4 linked regions of the Arabidopsis thaliana genome follow. The protein of the gene in region 1 purifies or fractionates together with the protein of each later gene. This does not show direct contact. Each region holds a gene or a part of one and is shown on either strand. Other genes may lie near its edges. The genes, in order: AT3G23145, AT5G38640, AT2G44070 and AT1G44835.

Region 1 (4,414 bases):
TAAGAGTAGCAGGCGATCGCTCATCGATCGTATTTTTTTCTAAGTTTTATTTTGTTTTTGTTAAAGCATATTTTTCTAAGTATAGAAACCATCGAAATCAATTTCAGTTTTGGGGAGAACTCATAATAAATTTCATAAATGCTATTTAATTAATGAGAGCAATTTGTATATTCTTAATTGTTTTACCTACTTTAAGCACAACCACAAGTCCACAACTCCTTAGTGAATGCTTCTTTTAAAAAATTTGGTTTTATTATTTTGTAGGTATTACATGTTCACATTCAAAATATATTTCACACTATATTAGATTAAATTTAACTAAGCTTTAATATTTCACTAGCTCCTACTAGCCTTCCAATTTTTACAATTTTACTTTGCAATTTTTACTCTCGATCCAAACAAATAAGTACTTTTTTGTACTATATTCAAAGATGAACAACTTTATATTTTTCTTGAACAAAAATGAAATTGAATAGAGAGAAACTAGCTACCCTAACTAGTCACTCGAAACCTTATAAATAACACCTTCTGTAGTTTGTTTTCCTATGAAGAATATTTTTCAACTTTATCTATTATATTATCCTTTGTTAAACTTTCCCTGAAAATTGTTAGAAAATAAACTAATTAAAATAATTCTAAGCATGACGTTTTTGTAGTTATTAATTCATGTTACATTAGACGCACGAATTTAATTATAATACACACCCCCGTAATTAAGTACATTAAAGACCCTAAAGTATATATATTAACCATTGATAAAACAATTTAGCCCTAATTAGTGTCCGTTCACACACATAATCTTTCCTTTAGCTTATATATACGCTGGTGTGTGTTTTTAAGAAGCTTCATACACTCATTTTCAAAACATTGAATACTGAGACTTGAGAGAGATCCCAACAGAAGAAGAAGAGAGAGATGAACCACCGGGACAAACAAATTGATTCCGGCTCTGGCTCTGGAGAAAACCGCCGGACTTATGACTGCGACATCTGCAAGAGAGGTTTCACGAATCCTCAAGCCCTCGGTGGTCACAATAACATCCACCGCAGGGAACGCGAAAGATACCCCTCCTCCTCTTCTTCTTCTCACTCATTTCCATTTTCTCTTCCGTTACCATCTCAGTCTCCCTCCTCCTCCACAAACTTCACAAACCCTCCTCCTTATTTTCCGACCATTGAGTCATACCTACACCAAGGGTCTCAGCCACCTATTAACCCTAGCCACAACACACAATACTTTGGATCATCATCATCATCAAGAGGAGGAGGGAGATTTGCTCAAGGGGCGTCTCATGATCTTAATTTGAGCTTAGGGCTCGGATCCATGAATGAAGATGATGACACTCACCGGAGCCCACCAGAGACCGGAGGTTCTCAACCTCAAGATGGTGATCTTGATCTTGATCTTCGACTCGGCGGTCATCGTCATCATTAAGCTTGCAGCGGTTTCCCTCACGTTCGATCCACGTAACCATATACAATATATATATATAGTTGAAAGTTAATCACCGTATAGTGCATGATGTTTATTGTGGTGTTTATATATGTTTTCAATATATATGTAGTATGATCAAAATATGTTGGACTTGGAGTCATGTTTTTATCATGATCGTATGAAGTTTGGGTTTGTATAATTCAAGACTATATTTTTCACTTAAAAATTATAGATCAAATAGGTTAATTTGAGTAATGTTTTTGTTATACCTTTTTCAAAAAGAAAAAAAAATGTTCTTGTTGTCTGAAGTTGGGTTTGTATAGTACAGGATTATTGTTCTTTTCCATAACTATATATTAGTGTAGATCTATAGATCAAGTAGTTTTGCGTAATATGTTCTAATAATTAGTTACGTTGTATGAAATTTGGGTTTGTATAATCAAAGACTATCTATCATTCTCTTGTATAATATTTTACATGAATTTACATTTCAAGTGGGTTTGTATGAATTTACATTATAAAGTAAGTTTAAACTTATATTATGAATGAATTCGAACTGCAATGGGATAAACATTATATGCGTTTTAATAATAGGTTGGTGAAGTTTATAATTTACACCATTTGAAAAGCCTTCCAAATTTAGAAACTACATTTTTGCAGACCCATGTGAGCTCATATGAATCAATCATAGCCTTGATGTTGTAAAACAAATTATGATTATAAAAATGTGATAGTATATTACATGCATAAAAAATAAAGGAGAGTAAATGAAAGTCAAATCTGGGTTTTATGAACTGAAAGTTGAAGTTTAGAAGTAGAAGTAGCGATCAAAGTATGACCAGTTAAAAGGCCCAATATCATTTGGAGGTTTGATTTTTGGGTTCGTAAATTTCAAGAGCCAGATTATGATTTGCTGGGCTTAAAAATCATGGAAAAATTGAAATGACGGTGTTAAAATATATAACTCAAATTAAAGATTTTAATTGGGTGTAGTAGGCTGATTTTTTTATAAGAATCTTGTCTATAGATGCTTCAAGGTTATGCCTTATAGTACTGGTTGTAAAACACCACTATCTAATTTTGAAGCTGGTCAGAACTATAAGGTATGTTGTTGTTGGCCTTGTTGCTAATGAAGATTATAACATTCTGTTGTTGCATTTTTTTTTTTTTTTTTGTGTTAAATATATATATTTTTTTTGCATATTTATTGTTGCATATTGTGTTGCATATTTAGTAATGGTTACATTCCCTGTTATCGGAGATCCAAGATAATACGGCTCTTGTGGCATGGACTACTACTCCATGGATTCTTCCAAGTAATCTTGCTTTGTGTGTCAATGCAAAGTTTGTCTATCTTAAGGTTCGTCAACAACACTGGAAAAGTCTACATTGTTGCTGAATCTCGGTTGTCATCGCTTCCTAGTGATAAGCCTAAGGCCGGCTTAACTAATGGAACTTACTAGTGATACCATAATGCGAAAGGTGCTAATTAAGCTTGACAGTGAAGAGGATTCTTATCAAGTTTTGGAAAATTTTAATGGAGATTCCTTGGTTGGGAAGAAGTATGAACCTTTGTTTGATTACTTTTAGCGATTTCTCAAGTGTGACTTTTCGACTAGTAGCAGATGATTATGTCATGAATGATAGTGGTACTGGTATTGTCCATTGTGCTCCTGTCTTTGGTGCAGATGACTATCGTGTTTGTCTTGAGAACGAGATAATTAAGAAGGTTAGATTTGACAACATCTTCCTTATATCACCACCTTTAACATTAAGTTTATTTTCTTTCTTGTTTAAGTTTACAGTATCTTCAAGAACCCATGTTCATGACACATTTTGTTCATGTGTTGTTTAGATTGTCAGAGATTTCAAACGTCCAGATGGTTTGAAAGATACAGAGATTGATGCAGCTGTAGATAGTACATATCTTAATTAAAAATACCACTTCTCTATGCTCTATTGTTGAGGAAACATATAATATTTGCATTCGTTCATGGTTCAGATATGATGTTATGGTAATTCTTGATCTACGAGAAGATGAATCTTTGAAAAACGAAGGTGTTGCCCGTGAGGTAAATAAATGTAACCGAAGCGATTAATGGTCATATATAAGTTGTATATTTGATATATGGGTTTCCTTCTCATTGTGCTCATGCATTGAAAAGCACCCTGTTATGACTGTGGTTCTAGGAGAACATTTGCATTTGACAGTCGGTGACTAATTGTTAAGCAAGAAGAACGCATGAGAGCCTTTTAAAGTGTTTTCTTCTAGATCGTTGCAAAAAGTTAAATGTCTCTTGAGACTTTGTACTCATTCTATAGATAAAGATGGGATTTATTACAAAAACAACAAGAAACTTTGTTACTTGTGGAAATTCAAAATTATCCGAACTAGCTTCACAAAATATGCTCAAGAGTTTCAATGTATTTTTTTTTGTTCTGTAATTGTATGACTCCGTTTGAAGCATCAAGATTATGGTTATAGGTAGTGATGCTAAAACTCTCTGTTGTTACAGTGACCACTAAAAACACCAACAAAAAAAACTTAGGTAACGTGTCGTCTAAAAACTTCTAGGTTCAATTTCTTTAGATAGTACTATCAATAAATAAAATAAATATGTACAAAGGCTTTAAACAATGATGTTTTTCAAAGATGATTGGTAGATACTAATTAGAGCTTCAATATAAAAGAACACATGCGATTCTGACATTCTGTGGTCTAACATGGTTTCTTCTAGAGTCAAAACCATACAATTAAAAGTTAGGAAAGTAATAGCAATGTGGTTTCAAATATATACTCATTACTCTTTAGATTCATGTATGGTGAAGGAAACATTATAATAAAATCAAAGATCACAGTTTTGTAGGTCCCTCATATTAATCAACATCTTAAGGCGTTATACATATCTTCTTTTTGTAAATATTTGACTAATTAAAATATCTAATTAGAGTATTAGACTAATCTCATCAAATATCCGAC
Region 2 (6,468 bases), on another chromosome or scaffold:
AAAGCCTTAAAAAAAGTATCAAATTAAGCACATAAGTTAGAAAAGAAAAATGTGTTGTAAGAAAGAAAAAAGGTTAGGAAAGAAATATGCGACAGAAAAAAGAGTTTTATGGGCTTACAAATAAGAAAAGCCCAAATGGGCCTTGAGTTTGAGCTTTACATAAAATTCATTCTACTAAACTTAAGCAAAATCATTCCTTCTTCTTTCTCTGAAACTTTTGCCTTGCTTGCTTGCCCAGAAAGTCGCCGAGAAAGTTAAAAGTAGAACGGCGGAGGAAAAAAAAACGAAGAGGAAGAGGAGAGATGGAGTCGCAGAAGAAGATAGCTCATGAGATCGGAGGTATGAAGAACGATGCTCTTCGCTTTGGTCTTCACGGCGTTAAGAGCGATATCCTTAGATCTCATCCTCTCGAAACGGCTTACGAATCTGTAATCAATCACTTCACAATCTTTTTTTTTTTTTTTATTGATATTGAGGAATTAGAAAATTAGGCTAATTAAGGAACTTAGGGTGTTGATGAATAAGCTTCGTGTTGATTCAGAAATTTGAGAATTGGGATTTTTTGACGGGGTTTCTGAAATTAGTTTTTTTTTTTCCTTTCTATAAACTTGTTTATTGTGATTTCAGGGGAAGCAATCACAAGAAGAAATGAAGAGGAGAGTGATCACGCATACTTATGGAGCTGCTCTTCCTTTGAAGATGGATCTTGATAGACAAATCCTTTCTCGGTATGGATCTTTAAATCTGTAGCATATGAAATTCTGAATTACACTGATTATTAGGTATGAGAATGTATGAGAATCTTCCTTAGGCTTTATAGAATACTGTTAAGATTGAAATATGGTTTCCTAATGCTAGTAATCTATCTTGATTAGGTCAATTGCTGTTCTGAATTTTGAAATATTGTTAGTACAAATGTGTATATGAATCATCATAATGATTATATCGAAAATTCGGAATCATAATCGTGTAGTGCTACTTAGAATTAGATTTGCAGAACCATAAACGCGTAGTGGATACTCTTAAATTAGTAGCAATATGTAGATTGAATTCAGAACCATAAACGCATAGAGCAGCCTCTTCTTCATTGAATATTTATTGGTGAATTGAATATTTATTGTATATCTTTTTATGTGGAGTATTCAGGTTTCAGAGACCTCCTGGACCAATTCCTTCATCAATGCTTGGCCTTGAAGTCTACACAGGAGCTCTAGATAATTTTGGTTTTGAGGATTACTTGAATGGTAATTGTTTTACACCAGTTTTCCCATTTGGTTGTGCATTAGAGTTTTCTATTCCTACAATCTTTGAGCATTTCTCAAAACATGACCGTCACATACTGCTTGCATTGTGTAACCAAATCATCCTCATCCTTGCATAGAGTTTAACTCTTTGTTTAGCATATAATAGAAAAGTGTCTCAACTTGTTTATTTCGTTTCGCTTACTAGTCTCTACTTTGTAGATTGTTCCACTCCAAAACACCAATAGACAGTGACAAACCTTTGTTCCAGTTAGACTGTCACAAATCATCGAGCATTGCTCAAAAATTGACTGTCACATACTACTTACTTACATTGTGTAACCAAAGTTGAACTTTTGGTTCAGTATATAAGAGAAAAATGTTTAAACTTTTTAATTCTCTTAGTTTCACAATTTATATTGTTCTGACGATGAATGGTGTATAATCTACAGATCCTCGCGAATCCGAGACGCTGAAACCAGTAGACTTTCACCACGGGATGGAAGTTCGGCTTGGTCTCTCCAAAGGCCCAGCTTCCCCAAGTTTCATGTAGTCACCACCATCAAAGTATTTCCTTCGTCAGGTCTCATATGCTTTTTAATCTGAGTAAGATCATGTTATGAATTTCCACCAGCCCTAAAAGAATCTACTTGTTGTTTGATCTCTTCTCTATACTGTGTCTCCTTTGCTCTGAACATGATAAAACATATGAACTGTGTTTCAGTTCTTATCTCTCTCAGTTCACAATTTGTTGGACTTGCTTAGTTATTTAAATAAGATTATGCTCCTATTTCATTATTATGTTACTGACACCAAAACCTTGGATACTAGATTCTATTAGAATAAATAAATTGCATATGGATTAATACTCTAAACAAAACAAAAACAAAAGAACAAAGTAAGATTGTTTTAGTGACTCGGACTGGACTGTTAACATCGGATAAATCTGAAAAAGTAAATAAATAAAAATAAAAACCCTATTCTACGTTTTATTCGTCTGGGAAAACAAAAATTAAATTCGATCCCCAAAATTAATAATTCCGTCTTCACCGAGAAAAAATCCAGAGCTTCTTCTCCTCCGACGCGATGGAGTCTCGTCGGAACCCTCGCGCCGTAGTAGATCCAAAGGTCCGACAAGTCGGTTTCTTCACATCATCTCAACCCGATTCATCAACTCAACAACAACAACCCGACCCGATCGCTGCTACCTCTGCTTCTTCTTCTTCTTCCACCATTTCTCCTTCCGGTAACTCACTCTCCCCCGTCATGATTCCTCCTCCTCGTCTCAATTCCTCTGATACTTTCCCTCTTCGAGTCGCTGTCGCTGGTGCTGCTGCGTCAGCCGTGTCTCCTTCTTCGTTTTCTTACTCAAGTCGCCGTGATTTCCCTGATGGATCAACGACGGCGTCTCCTGGACGCCATTCCAGGGGTAGTTTCGTAAAATCATCTGTTCCTGTTGCTTCTTCGCTGCCTGGTATTGGGATGGATTCTATGGCTGCTGCTAAATCTAGTAGTGTTCCTGCTAGTGGTTTAACCACTGTCTCCGTCGTTACCATGCCTCCTGGACTTTCTGGTACTCTCACTTTTGATCTTGTGGAATCATAATTTGATTGATTTTGAAATTTGTTCTTTAGGATATATGAGGCTAATGTATTCACAATGTTATATAATTGCAGAGAAGGCTAGTGGAATGGAGGTGCAGAGTGACCAGAAGAAGCCATTGAAAGAGAAAACCACTAAAGCTGAGAGACGAGCTATTCAAGAAGCTCAAAGAGCTGCTAAAGCTGCTGCAAAAGGTGCATTTTTGATTTAAACCAATGTGTGGTTTTATCGCAATGAATGATTCGTCAGCTTAGTACAGAGATTTGATATGCTGGTTGCTCTGTTGTGTTATCGTTGTGTATTTTGCAATATCTTAATCAGTCTGTGTAATACTGTGCTATATCAGCTGATGGTGGGAAGGTGGCACCAGTGTCCTCAGCCTCGGTGGCTTCAACAAGTGTTAAAGCTGCTAAACCAGCGAAGGCTACATCTCAGAAGAATGATGTTGCTGTTGCTACTGGAGCAGCTGAGAAGAAGGGAGGTCCATCTGAAAAAGATAGAAAGAAAGATGCTCCTCATCCCCGCATGCAGTATGATGATGAGAGTAGAGTCGTGAAGGCTAAAAGACGTGCTGTTGTAAAACAGACCGAGGCTAAAAACAGGGTTGAGCTATTTAGGCATTTGCCTCAGTATGAGCATGGCACTCAACTTCCTGATCTCGAGACTAAGTTCTTCCAACTTGACCCTATGCATCCTGCTGTGTACAAGGTATTTGTTTTCTCTTGAATTTATCTGGTTGGTGCTTCTAATAAACTATTAATAATCTCTTTGTTAAAACAAGGAACCGTTTGTTCTAATGAGTGGTTTATATTGCTTCATTAAGATGAATGTTACTTGTATACTGAATGAGTATCAGTTGTTGTGGTATCAGGTTGGTCTTCAATATCTTTCTGGGGATATCTCTGGTGGCAATGCCAGGTGTATTGCGATGCTCCAAGCATTCCAAGAGGTTGTCAAAGATTATTCAACACCGCCTGAGAAGTCTCTTAACAGGGACATGACTGCGAAAATAAGTAGCTACGTCTCCTTCCTCATAGAATGCCGTCCGCTTTCGATTAGCATGGGAAACGCAATACGATTTGTGAAAAACAGGATTGCAAAGCTGCCTATAACACTTTCTGAATCTGAAGCAAAAGCTACTCTTCAGTCAGATATTGAACGGTTCATTAACGAGAAGATCATAGTGGCAGATACGGTGATAGTCAAACATGCTGTTACTAAAATAAGAGACGGTGATGTCCTTCTGACCTACGGATCTCCCACTGCTGTTGAGATGGTAATATTACATGCACATGAACTCAGGAAAAAGTTTCGAGTCTTGGTGGTGGATTCTCGTCCAAAGCTTGAAGGGCAGCTACTGCTTCGTAGATTGATCAAACGAGGCATTAACTGTACATACACTCATATAAATGCCATTTCATATATCATGCATGAAGTCACCAAAGTGTTTTTGGGCGCCTCGTCAGTTTTGTCTAACGGAACAGTTTATTCAAGGGTTGGGACTGCTTGTGTTGCAATGGTTGCAAATGCATTCCGTGTTCCTGTGCTTGTATGTTGCGAAGCCTACAAGTTCCATGAGAGGGTGCAATTGGATTCAATATGTTCCAATGAGCTTGGTATGCAATATCTTCTCTCGATATCAGTATCATCTTATACCGCCTTTGATTTTGTTTTACCTTACATTGGGTTTCTTGCTTCTTTACCTTTAGGTGATCCAAATGCTATTTCAGAAGTTCATGGAAGAGAAGACATAAACTATTTAGATGGCTTGACCAACAACGCAAACCTGCAGTTTTTGAACTTGATGTAAGCTTGTGTTTATCGGAGAAGTGAAACTATGTTCTGTTAATACTAATCCTCTCTGCCACTAAACTCGTTTGTGATTTTTCTAATGACAGGTATGATGCTACACCTTCAGATTACATTTCCATGATAATCACAGATTATGGCATGGTAAGATTAACCATCGTCTCTTAAAAACATAGCATTAGGTTCCTGAAGTCTCAGACCTATAAAATACAGTTTCTCCACTTATTCAGAATCTCAAACCATTGAACGCAATGTTTTCGTTTTCAGGTACCTCCCACAAGTGTGCCTGTCATCGTGAGAGAATATCAGAAAGAACACTTGCTTGTCTAAGCAAAGCTCATTTTTGCGAAAGCTCTTCTTCTCCAACCCCCTCCTCTAGCTCAGGCTCTTCTCATCACAACCCAGATAGAATAACTACCGGCACTGCCTCCCCTCATCCGCTTCTTTTCCTGAGTACCGGGTTCATTTTTTTTGGCCTTGACTTGTTTTTAGAAACTTTTGACTCTGTGAAGAGTGCGATTCATCATCCGCCTCTCCGGGAAGATTTTATCGATATCGGTGATGTTTTTCTTTGTCTGTGATGTATGAGTGAGGCTTCTCTTACTCTCCCTTCTCATGGAGGTTGATACAAATCTTTCTCAGATTCTATGCCAATTTTTGTTGGGTTCAGTCTTCAACATTGGTTACACGTGTTCTCATGCTTTACTTGTATTACAGTCATATATGCACTGCTCGTTAAATCAGTTCAAAAAGACTCAATTACATCACAAATTGTCTCTTAAATAAACAATGTTTCGATAGGTCGAAATGTTGAAAGAGATCTTTTCGAGGGTTTACTCTATTGTGTGAGAACTTGATCCTTGCCACTGACCGGAGTAACCACACCGAGTATCACGAAACCGCCAAGAATAAGGATTAGAACGCCCATTGTGTTGACTAACATTGCCTCTGTGGAATACCGAGTTATCACTTGATTCACTTGCAGGAACGTCACCTTCTCAAGTATCCCTGTGGTTGCAGTCACCAACGCCAATGCATATATGGAAATCCCTAAGAACACATGCCATGGCATCAAACTGGCTCTGCTGTTTCTTGAACCACCCGGGTACCAATAAGTCACAAACCCTGCAGCCCACTGTTTGTAACAATAGATTTGAGTGAGTTCTTGATATTTATTCTTACTGAGTAATGGAGATTGTTATTTTAAAACAAGTCAGAACAGAGAGTGTACCTGGAATGCAAAGAGAAAGAGGCAAGCAAGGCCGAGCCACGAATGGAGACTGTAGAAATTTTCGATCCCTTTGTCAATATGGAACTTGAGAGCAGCCCACACTCCGATCAGGCTTAGAATAAATGCTGTGAGTTGTAGTGTAAGATGAACCAGTTTTTTCAAGTTCTTTGTACCTTGAACTGACTTATATGCTAACATAGCTGCATAAGTTGAAGGTACCGTTCATGTTAGAAACGAAAACATGTCCATGGTCTCTTTACCGAATTAACAATGCCGTAACTAAAAACAAAAAAAACTAATCCTATGAGTCCTAAACCTCTTGACATAAAATTTCAATGTACTCAAATGTTAAAAAGGGCAATTCAACAGTTCAGTCTCTTTGACAAATGAAGTATGCGGAAATCGAACATGAAAACCGATACAACGAATACTAAAACCTCTTGACATTAGAATAGTCGCCAGACGGTAATATACTACAAATTTGAAGTCTAAAATATGAAGTTAAGACGGTAATATACTACAAACTCTTAACATGTGAAGGAGATTGTTTGCTTACCTTCTCCATTGAAGAGTATGAGTCCAATC
Region 3 (5,043 bases), on another chromosome or scaffold:
TGTAGAAAGGGAAAGCTATATAGAAATGGCAACCCATGCATGATTGCCTTGAACATCGCAAACCCTCCCTTAGATTGCATGTCTAGTGGAACATAGTGGACCTGCAACAATATTCAACAAAAAATTCATATTATATACATTGCATAATGCATAGTAGGACATAATAAGATGAATTATTATGCTCAATAACAAGTTTATATGATATGCCCACAGTTTCATCACATATACTTGAGTTTATTAAAACGAATGATTCTATTTCTCTATTAAGATTAGCCTTTATTAATTGTTAGTGGTATGAGATATATTGAAGAAAATAAGTATAAGCAAAAAAAATGTTGATAGAAGAATTAAATAAGCAATAATTTCAAAAGGTATGTAATGTGGATGAAACGGCACATGTCGTTGTCACGTGGCTCGTTCCCATCGATTCAATGCATATCTCGACCAACTTGACTTATTAATATTCCTCGTACAACTCTCCAATCTAAAGCCACCTTTCTTCTACGTTATACATTTTCTTTTTCTGTTTTCTTTTAAATACTTTCTCCTCACAAATTATTGTTTTCTATTATCTAAAATCAATACCGTTAGGAAATGGTGTCTTTATAACACTTTAGAAAAATATAATTAATCATTTTCTAATGTATTATTTTTGTAATTGAGTAATTTGATTTAAAAATATAAACTAATATAATAATATTGGTATTTAATCATTTCAAATATTCTTAATTATATTCTTTTTGAATACACGCATATTGTTCTAAACTATTAATTTCTTACAAAAATTCTATATTATTTATTGTGTCTACAAACAAAAGAGTCGTCTAATCATTTTTGGTTTCATTTTTTTTTTGCTAGAAATCAAAAACAAATTCCTCATTTTTTTTGAGGTAAGCTAATGTTATTTTCTAATAACAATCATAAGTAATACCCGTGGTTTAAAGTTTACACGGTATTAATTAGGTACTACAGCCATGGTGGACGGTGGATCTTCATCACCTAATCCGTACAATTAAGAGACAATTAATTACATTAAATCATGTGCATTAGTTGATTTAGGAACTAATTGATAAATCAACTCTAAAGACTAAAGTAGTGCGATAGATAAAGCTAAAGTATATATTTTCTTCAGTATAAAGATAGGAATATATGGGGACATATACTTTTGTCGATTTTGTATCCAGCTTTGCATCAGTGAAGTCTGAGCGAAGATATGACCAGACTTAAAAAGCAACTAAAAAGATGCATAACAGAAACACAAAAATAAAATTCATGCATCTGCTAGTCATAGAGGTTATTGGATTCATTGCACGTATCTTAATGATTCGTTTTCGTTTCACCTCCCTTGCTACAAAAGATTTGAAAGAGAAAATGTTAAATTCTTTAGGTCAGAATCAATTAAGATAATTTCATTTTCTTCTTGTGTTTTGTACGTCACTTGTTTCTTTTTTCGTTGGTTATGTACCAAAACATGAAAAGTTCAAAAATTGTTAATTAGAAGATTAAAGAGAAGAGTAAGAATAAAGATGAAATGAGGAATTGATATGGAGGAGTAGGACCCAAGTTTGCAAGGATGGTGGCTGGCTGGCTGCTCTGTTGTTTGTTACATCTCATTCTCAATCTTAATTCCAATTCTATGTGCTTCTTTCACTATTTCCCTATAGAATACCATTCTTGTTTTTTTTTTTCAATTTTCAAAAACCACTATAAGGAACTTTTTCAATAGTTGCTTGTTTGTTTAGACCAAGGAAGATGTCAAATAGATTTCTTCACTTTTCAAGTGGAAGCAAAATTATGCGGTCAAGTGTATTATACTAGTGTGTGTTTTTTTTTGGTTTAATACCGACTAATTTCTAACTCTAATCTATCAGTGAACGTCTTAAAACTAATATTGCTGAAGAATATATTGTTCTCTGCTACAGCCTACAGCATTCAAAGTTTCATCAAAAAGATAAAATGTATATATAACTAAAAGTTTTGGGTTAATAGATAATAGTCAAAGAAGACATTCGTGTTGAATGTTTCTTTTTTTTTTTTTTTTTTATCGTGGGGATTGATTCAATGCATTGTTCCAACCTTTTGACTCTTTCTCGTGTTTCCTTTTTTATTCGTTTTCTGAATTATACTTTTTAGACCCTTTCCTCGAATTTTTACTTGAGCCCTACTCTAGTAATACATAAGCATATATATAAAAATCTCTCAAATTTGATTAGGACAGTTTTAGTATATAAAAAAAGGAAAAAACGCATTGTTTAAAACGTGGTCATGACGAAAACGTTTGATTTCGATCGATGATATTTAAATAAAGGAAACACCTAACCATATTTATTCTTAACTGATCAAAGATCCTCCAATTTCACGAAGCCTAAAACTCTCAAAAACAGATTCAATAACGTCACCAAACCTTGAGGCTTTTTAAAGGAAGAAGCATTTGAGAAAATCGTAACTTCTTGACCCTATGCATTCTGCTGTGTACAAGGTATGGTTAGTGCTTGTAATATACAATTATATAATCTCTTTGTTTTAATAAGTGGTTGCTCATTAAGATGAATGTTACTTGTCTAGTGAATGAGTATGACGTTGTTGTGGTTATCAGGTTGGTCTTCATTATCTTTCTTGGGATATTTCTGGTGGCAATGCCAGATGTATTGCGATGCTCCAAGCATTCCAAGAGGTTGTTAAAGATTACTCGACGCCGCCTGAGAATACCCTTAATAGAGACATGACTGCTCAAATAAGTAGCTACGTCTCTTTCCTCATAGAATGCCGTCCGCTTTCGATTAGCATGGGAAACGCAATCCGATTTGTGAAAAACAGGATTGCAAAGCTGCCTATAACACTTTCTGAATCTGAAGCAAAAGCTTCTCTTCACTCAGATATTGAACGTTTCATTAACGAGAAAATCATAGGTGCAGATACAGTGATAGTCGAACATGCTGTCACTAAAATAAGAGACGGTGATGTCCTTCTGACCTACGGATCTTCCACTGTCATTGAGATGATATTAGTGCATGCACATGAACTCGGGAAAAAGTTTCGTGTCTTTGTGGTGGATTCTCGACCAAAGCTTCAAGGGAAGCTACTGCTTCGTAGATTGATCAAACGAGGCATTAACTGTACATACACTCATATAACTGCCATATCATATATCATGCACCAAGTCACCAAAGTGTTTTTGGGCGCCTCATCAGTTTTTTCTAACGGAACAGTTTACTCAAGGGTTGGCACTGCTTGTGTTGCAATGGTGGCTAATGCTTTCCGTGTTCCTGTGCTTGTTTGTTGCGAAGCCTATAAGTTCCATGAGAAGGTGCAGTTGGATTATTCAATATGCTCCAATGAGCTCGGTGATCCAAATGCTATTTCAAAAGTTCATGGAAGAGAAGACATAAACTACTTAAATGGCTTGACCAACAATGCAAAGCTGAAGTTTCTGAACTTGATGTAAGCTAGCTTGTGTTAATCGTACAAGTGAAACTATATATGTTCTGTTAATACTATTCTTCTCTGCCTGCCACTAAACCCGTTTGTGATTTTTTTTCTAATGATAGGTATGATGCTACACCTTCAGATTACATTTCCATGATAATCACAGATTATGGCATGGTAAGATTAATCATATCGGCTCTTAATTAAAAACATAGCATTATGGTGATCAAGTGATCTCATCCCTAAACATAACTCATGCAACACAGTTTCTCCACTCATTCAGAATCTCAAACCATTGAACACTGACCATGTTTTATATTTCAGGTACCTCCCACAAGTGTGCCTGTCATCGTAAGAGAATATCAGAAAGAACACTTGCTTCAAAGCTCAAAGATTGTTATTTAGATGCTCAAAATAGAAGTAAGAATAAAAATGAAATGATATGGAGGAGTAGGACCCAAGATTATAAGGCATGGTTGCTGTTCTGTTGTTTGTTACATCTAATTCTCATTCCTTATTCCAATTCTGTGGGCTTCTTTCACTATTTTCCCTATAGAATACCATTCTCGTTTTTTGTTTCAATTTTCAAAAACCACTATAAGGAACTTTTTCAATAGTTGGTTGTTTGTTTAGACCAAGGAAGATGTCAAATTGATTTCTTCACTTTTTTGATTAATGTTTTGGGGTAATTAATTAGTCAAAGAAGACATTTGTGCTGAATGTTTTTTTTTGCTGAATGTTTTTTTTTTATCGTGGGGATTGATTCAATGCATCATATTGTTCCAACCTTTTGACTCTTTCTCTTGTTTCCTTTTCTTTTCTTTTTAGACCCTTTTCTCTAGTATAAGCATATAAATCTCTCAAATTTGATTTCGACGATTTTAATATATATATAAAAAAAAGAAATTCGCATTGTTTTAAACGTTGTTATGATGAAAACGTTTGAATTCGATTTTTTTTTTTTAATAAAAGTAAACACGTAACCATATTTATTCTCAACTGATCAAAGATCTTCTAGTTTCATGAAGCCTAAAAAACTCTCAAAAAACAGATTCAATAACGTAACCAAATAACATTGGAGGCTTTTTAAAAGAAAGAAACGTTTGAAGAAAATCGAAACTTGTTCACCCATATCACATTTTGGCTGCTGCTTCTGCCAAACGCTTCTTCTTCTTCTTGACACTAGCTGATTTGTAACCGCCTTTACACGGTTTTCCCCACGGACTAACCGATGTCCTTCCTCTGCTTCCACTACTTTTGCTTTTTCCTTCACCTCCACCGTGTGGATGATCACACGGATTCATCGCCACTCCTCTAACTTTGGGCCTTATCCCTAACCACCTACTCTGTCCTGCTTTATATAGCTTCTTCGTTCCATGAGACGGGTTCGACACTGTGCCAATCGTAGCACGACATTTGGCATTGATCCACTTGGTGTCCCCTGACGGAAGCTTTATCAAGCATTTCCCTTTAGCAGGCTCCTTTAGGATCTTGGCGTTGGTTCCTGCAGCTCGGACCATCTTTGCGCCTTGCCCTGGGTTCATCTCGATGTTGTGGATGATTGTTCCGATACGCATCATACCTAGTGGCATGGAACTTCCTATCATTGAGTTGATG
Region 4 (6,140 bases), on another chromosome or scaffold:
TCCCCAGAACCTGTGTCAGCATTTCTCGAACCACTTGTTGTATCATACAAACTGTCAACTTTCCGTTTTGAACTACTTCCTGGCGTTTCACAACTCAAATTTGCTGTATCAACCTTATCTTCAAACTTCACAAACAAGTTTAGACCCCTGTTTTCTCTAAGGGTCTTTAGATAGTATTGAAGTCCAATCTCGCTTGTAACCAGAACCGGTGGAGTCTTATCCTTTGTTGCAAACATGTTCTTATTCGGTACAGAGTAACTTAACAGAGGATTTAAACCCTTGACGCCAAACTCCTGCAGAATTGCTTCGTTCAACGCATCCAATGTTATCCTCTCATGAATTGGGACAACCCTTGAGAAAAGTTGGTTACATATCTCCAATTTCCACTCTCCAGTCGAAGAACAAAACCACTCTCCACATATAACCATGATATAGTCGTCCATCGATCCCTGTACATATAAACGATAAAATAAAAATTGGTTATATTCTGATTCCCGTAACAAATAGAAAGCACGAAATTGCGTTTTAATATCATGATATCAGTTTTCTACAATCGTACCTCCTTGGAAACGACAGTTGGCCAAAGTTCGATGATCGAAACCCAGAATCTTATGTGTTTCAATGGATCTCGTGTGTCAGTTTGAATTTAGTCGAAAAGCAAGGGAAGTTACAATGATTAATCACGGCCGTTTAATTAAATGAAATCCGACGATCGTCATAACGTGGAAACTGTTTTTTCTAAACCGACCATTTTAACCGTATATTTTAGACCAAAACCAAACGAAACCACAAACCGGTTTGTAGTAATATCTCTTACCAATTAGTGGGGGTAAATATGTCTTATTTCACTCCAAAAGCAAGGCAAAGTGCCTCTAGTTTTTAAAGTGTATAAAGTGAATTAAGTTTCTCCGAAAGTGCCTCTATGTGTAACATTCCTTCAAAAAATCTAAAACCAAGTTCAACTATATTTTCAAATTTTCTAAAACCTAATATAGGTGAGTATAAAAACGTTTGCAATATACATATAAAAGTCATATTTCCTATTATTTTAGACTATGTATGATTAATTTGCATTTGTTGGAGATAGAGGGTAAAATTGCAAAAATGAATGAGTTAGAGTTTTTTACACAAAACCTTTTATTTTAGTATATGAAATATCCGAATATTTCTTTTATTCCAGAAAATCGTAAGTTTTAGATGAATGTTTTTCTTACGTTTTGTTCGAATTTCAAATTCAGTTTTCGGATATAGAAAAGGTTTATCTTTGATTGAACAAACAAAGCAACAATAAGTGAATAAATGGTTCGAGCTTTCATGTAAATGTAATCATTTTCAGTCTTATCTAAAATTTGCTGTCCAACGAAGGAAAATATATTGCTGAACCGGTAATGTTTCTCTCCCAAATATCTCCGGTTCAACATGTAAACCAAACCTCTTACAATCGCTTCGGCTGGTGGCGTGTACCAGCATAAAAACCTTCTGCGTACGCTGAGTTCTTGTACATAATCTGCAATCAATTTACATAGAACCAAGATTAGTACAAACGGCTTAGTCTTACCCGATGCGAACCATGTATATCGAAATGTACTCACAGAGAGGTGGGTCAACTCTGAGGTAAGTCGTTTTCTTAGTGTTTCTGCCAAAGCCTCCACGCACTCTCCCTTAGCCTGTATATAAAACCGGTTCAGAGTTGATCTATAAATGTTACGAAATCGACTTTAGTTTCGGGATTGAGTTTACTACCTCGGACAATAATAGAGCCGAAGTTTTGTCCAAAATCTCCTGCACAAATTTCTCCGGGTTCTTGTAAGCTGATGGAGCTGAATTTTCAGCGACGCTCTTCACCTTACAAGCTGGCTTGCTCGTTTTGGCTGCACCGTTGAAGAAAACCGAGTTATATAAACCAATCCTTCACGGTTTAACAAGACTTGGAGCGCATGGTTAAGAAACTGATAAATCAGGCATACCTGAAGCCACAGGCTTGACCTCTGCTGACACACTTTTTGGAAGAGGAATTTGTGTAGAAGATGTTTGATTAGGAATCTCGGGAACAATAACTGAATTAGACGGAACACAAACAGCTAGATCTGGAGCCTGGTCTTTACCAACTACCGGGTTAGCCTGAAACAGCAAAAGGTTCAAAAGGTTAACCCTGAGGAAAGGAACTGTGGAACATGAGTTCTCAAGTTAAAGGTTTAGAGTATTTGCCTCAAGGTCAACGTATACGGGATCTCTCCCAATCGACTTCAGAAACTTGTCCAGACCCAATGTGTTCAGAGCTGGAAATGATAGGAACCAACCAAATTAGATATAAGCTAAAATCTGATGTTATGAACTATTTTGAACCATAAAAGAAAAGTCTGTAATGAAAGAACTTACAGACTGAGACATCGTTAGACAATGGGTGGAAGATGCAACGCGTTTGGTTCTTGAATTTTTGGTCTAACAAGAGAGACACGTCTCTTTAACATGGAAAGTTTTAATAAAGAATGTCAGTCAATGGAAATAATTAGGAACTTGGAAGGGAAAACACCATATGAACCAATACCGTAAGGCAAACAATACCTTGCTGATTCATTTACAACTGCAAACGGGGTAACACATCCGAGGGATACCTTTAACGAAAAAAGAGAGTAGCACGAGTGTCAAAAATTGTAAACATGAATGACAATAAGTTCAATATATTCGTGTGGATTTGTTGTAAACTGCGATAAGCAAAACAAACATATCACCATGCATAAATAGATCATTTAAAGCAATTTGGTTTGGAGAAACTTTTCTTATCAATTGTCAAAAAAACTATCGCTACCATGGTTCCCATGTTACAGCACAATCATTTAATAAAACTCTTTCCAGATATATATAACAAAACACAGTAGCAGAGGAAAAGACTATGAAAAATACCTGCAAAAGCTCACCAAGTGCTTCTTCTGGAGCCATTCTAATCCCTCCTTTTCCAAGACCAAGTCTCTGAGATAAAACTGTTTAAATTAGAAGTCACAGGGAACACACATTAACATCCAAAAAAAAAAACATTCAAACTTCACAAAGCCCAGAGACTTCTTCTATGCCAATATCCACAAACGAAAAAAGGAGAAAACATATGTTACCTTTCATGTCAACTTTCGTATCCACCATCGCTGAAACAATATAATACCGATGTTTCTTGTCCTGCAAAAACAAAATAGAGGCATATGCACCATTAACAATCAACTAATACTCTAACTTGATAATGCCTTTAATGGTGTACCGCTTTGAAAGACTACCTTCAAGAAGAGATTCTTACTCAGTGCACCCTTACTACTGCTAACATACTTGGCCTGAAGATTTAAATACACAAAACAAAGCCTTATAAATCCATCTTTAAACATCATACACTTAAGTTTTAAAAATCTAAAACATTTTAAGGTATATTCACCTGTTCTTCGACGGTTAGTACAGGCGGATGTTCATACTTGGAATAATCAATCTCAAGTTCCTGAAAGATAGATACAAATCCTTAATCATCAATTCACATTGCCACATTTTTTTAACATTGACACTAACAAAACGTGTAACACCAAAATTCTTGACCTAAGGGTTAGAATCTAAAAGTAGACATTGAAAAACTTCTGAGTTCAAGACGACTATACACATAACTTGGAATCCATAGATACACATCCAAATCCATTAATACACATAACTTCTTCAAATAGAATCAAGCATAAAACGAAGTAACATTTTCCGTTCTCTGCTAATGATTTATCTAATCTTATCTGACAAATTCCAACAAAAGCAATGCGAAATGAAAATGATGTAATTGAGTTTAAAGGTGAAAATGGAAACCTGAAGTCGATCAAGCAACTGATCTTTGGTGAAACCCATTGAATCGAAAAAATCAAAAATCAGAGAATTTGGACTGAGAAAGGAGCAAGGAACTGCAGATTTTGTTGAGAAGACGAAAGTTTAGGTTTTGCAGATTTTGCAGTACTGGATTGAAAAACATTAAACCTTCTTAGTAAACTAGAGGATTACACATTGGGCTTTTCAATCCACGACCATACTTAACTTGCAAATGCCTAAAAGGCCCAACATATAACCACAGGTCATAAGAAAATACAAATTTTTAATTTAAAATTAAACTGTTTTAAGTTGTCATAAATGGTGCACCACAAATAAAAAAAAGTCATCATAAATTTGGGCTACGAAAAATATCTTTACAAGAAGGATTGATTGTAGATATTTGAAACTGATTGTGTAGAGTTTAGTCTCGGTGGCGTATTCGCCTGATGATTGACCAGCTTTCTCCAACCTATTAGACGAGTTTGAATGTTCCGAGCTTTAATTTCTTATTTTAAAAATTTTTTTTTTTATAAATATTAGGAGGTTCTGGACCGAATCCCGTAATCTCTCAGACCCGAAACCACAGCATGTAATATTAGTTTCGTCCCAAACGTCACTCGAATCGGCGACCTCTAAGGTTCGTCTAGGGTCTTTACCAATTGAGCTAACGACGCTTGGTTCGATTTCTTATTTTTACCGTTTATGTAATTCTAAAGCATATTGTTTAACCTGTTTTTCTCGTTTATTGTTGTCTGATGTTATTTTTGTAAACTCTTCTCCTCTAAATTGGGCAGCCGATCATAGAGTTATATTTTAATATATGTGTGGTTGATAAAAAATATATATATATTAATATTTTCTAATAACATATAAATATAAAAGTAGTTAGAAATGAATATAAAATAGTTAAAAAAATATTGATTGATTTTTGTGTAAATTATAAAAATCATTAGTTATGTTTAATTAATTATATTTTTGTTGTTGTGTGTTTAATTTACGTGTTTCAACATTTGGGGGACTGACTTTGTGGATTTGGATATGGTTCATTCAAATAGATTTTGCTAGGATTTTTGTTTAATTAGTTGTTTTAATTTCTTGAATAATTAATCTACGGCTTTAAAGAGTATGGTTACTGCTTAACACACTATTCTTAACTTTTTTCTCTGATGTGCTGAAAGAACACTTTTCAGCCCCAATACAACAAAACAATCACTGGTATGAGAAAATAAAATAAGAAATCCATATTTTTTCATCAAATAAGTAATCAATTTTGACTATGTATTAAGACCATCTCCAATGTATAGCTCTATATCTTGTTCTAAAATAGAGTAACTCAATTTTAGAGATGAGTTTTTCTCCAATGTATATCTCTATTTTCTACTCTAAAAAAGAATATTCTTAGAAATATTCTATTTCTATTTTATATACTAATACTTTTTAATTATATAATTTAAAATTTGACCCCATATATTATAGATTTGCAAAATTCGTATAAAATATGAAATTATTTAAATTAAACACTTATTATTTATTAAAAATCATTACATCATATAAAAATAATAAAACATTACAAATTTTATTTTAATTAACACCATTAGAATATTTATTATAAATAACACGGTTAACACCATTAGAATATTTGTTTTAGTTTTTTATGTTGTTTATTTTAAATTTAGTACTTGTTTGCTTCTTGTTAAGTTTATAAAACTATTAAAATTAGTATTTGTTTGTTTGTTAAGTTTATAAAACTATGTGTTGTAATTGTTGTTTGTAAAATGATTATATGCATTAAATAAAAAAAGTTTAAATTTGAGGGACTAAAGTATAAATAAAAAAATTGAACTCAAAAATAGAGTTGAGGATAGAGTTGTTCTATATATAGAGTCAATCTGTAGAAATCTCTATTTTTGAGTCAATTATAGAGTAGGGTTGGAGAAGAATTTTGCATTTTGACTCTAAAATAGAGTAGGGTTGGAGATGCTATAAGCCATTTTAGAGGTAAAGTGTCCGCAAAACGAAACCCTAATTATGAGAAACAAACAGGAAGAGAGGAAAATTAAGATTGCTTTCTCCTGCTAAGTCGATAATGAGATAGACTAGTAGCATTTAGCTTATGGTCATTTTGAAAAGTTCGTGTATGTATTTACTAGGCTAAACCGCTAAAGTAATTAGTATAGGAAAAAAGAATTTATAGAGTTCATTAGTCCGAGTATGTTAAACAATTAACAACCCCCGGTTCGCATATTGGAACCATAAAATACTTACAATAACTAAAATAGGCGTATAATGGATTGTCTAGCCATCGTGAAATCGCAATC

The links.
Region 2: the proteins of AT3G23145 (region 1) and AT5G38640 fractionate together in Arabidopsis thaliana (co-fractionation; one large-scale study listed by BioGRID). This does not show direct contact.
Region 3: the proteins of AT3G23145 (region 1) and AT2G44070 fractionate together in Arabidopsis thaliana (co-fractionation; one large-scale study listed by BioGRID). This does not show direct contact.
Region 4: the proteins of AT3G23145 (region 1) and AT1G44835 fractionate together in Arabidopsis thaliana (co-fractionation; one large-scale study listed by BioGRID). This does not show direct contact.

The regions. Positions count from the first base shown.
Region 1 is NC_003074.8:8,249,664-8,254,077, forward strand, and holds AT3G23145 (ATP binding / aminoacyl-tRNA ligase/ nucleotide binding protein), read left to right. Parts: upstream 1-2,474; coding exon 2,475-2,537; intron 2,538-2,695; coding exon 2,696-2,794; intron 2,795-2,977; coding exon 2,978-3,163; intron 3,164-3,289; coding exon 3,290-3,353; intron 3,354-3,468; coding exon 3,469-3,533; downstream 3,534-4,414. Other genes in the region: URO (C2H2 and C2HC zinc fingers superfamily protein), read left to right, coding at 916-1,434.
Region 2 is NC_003076.8:15,466,534-15,473,001, reverse strand, and holds AT5G38640 (NagB/RpiA/CoA transferase-like superfamily protein), read left to right. Parts: upstream 1-2,277; 5' UTR 2,278-2,327; coding exon 2,328-2,814; intron 2,815-2,917; coding exon 2,918-3,037; intron 3,038-3,189; coding exon 3,190-3,551; intron 3,552-3,714; coding exon 3,715-4,459; intron 4,460-4,552; coding exon 4,553-4,649; intron 4,650-4,741; coding exon 4,742-4,796; intron 4,797-4,816; exon of another isoform or gene 4,817-4,919; coding exon 4,920-4,982; 3' UTR 4,983-5,323; downstream 5,324-6,468. Other genes in the region: AT5G38650 (Proteasome maturation factor UMP1), read left to right, coding at 303-428, 628-728, 1,147-1,244, 1,694-1,794; APE1 (acclimation of photosynthesis to environment), read left to right, coding at 239-428, 628-728, 1,147-1,244, 1,694-1,794; CYB-1 (cytochrome B561-1), read right to left, coding at 5,491-5,787, 5,884-6,083, 6,440-6,468.
Region 3 is NC_003071.7:18,229,885-18,234,927, reverse strand, and holds AT2G44070 (NagB/RpiA/CoA transferase-like superfamily protein), read left to right. Parts: upstream 1-2,297; 5' UTR 2,298-2,458; coding exon 2,459-2,479; intron 2,480-2,596; coding exon 2,597-3,441; intron 3,442-3,520; exon of another isoform or gene 3,521-3,538; intron 3,539-3,548; coding exon 3,549-3,603; intron 3,604-3,750; coding exon 3,751-3,831; 3' UTR 3,832-4,063; downstream 4,064-5,043. Other genes in the region: AT2G44065 (Ribosomal protein L2 family), read right to left, coding at 4,560-5,043.
Region 4 is NC_003070.9:16,937,633-16,943,772, reverse strand, and holds AT1G44835 (YbaK/aminoacyl-tRNA synthetase-associated domain-containing protein), read right to left. Parts: upstream 3,973-6,140; 5' UTR 3,865-3,972; coding exon 3,826-3,864; intron 3,479-3,825; coding exon 3,419-3,478; intron 3,321-3,418; coding exon 3,267-3,320; intron 3,172-3,266; coding exon 3,111-3,171; intron 2,982-3,110; coding exon 2,905-2,981; intron 2,616-2,904; coding exon 2,566-2,615; intron 2,463-2,565; coding exon 2,380-2,462; intron 2,280-2,379; coding exon 2,209-2,279; intron 2,122-2,208; coding exon 1,968-2,121; intron 1,872-1,967; coding exon 1,741-1,871; intron 1,668-1,740; coding exon 1,593-1,667; intron 1,508-1,592; coding exon 1,436-1,507; 3' UTR 1,250-1,435; downstream 1-1,249.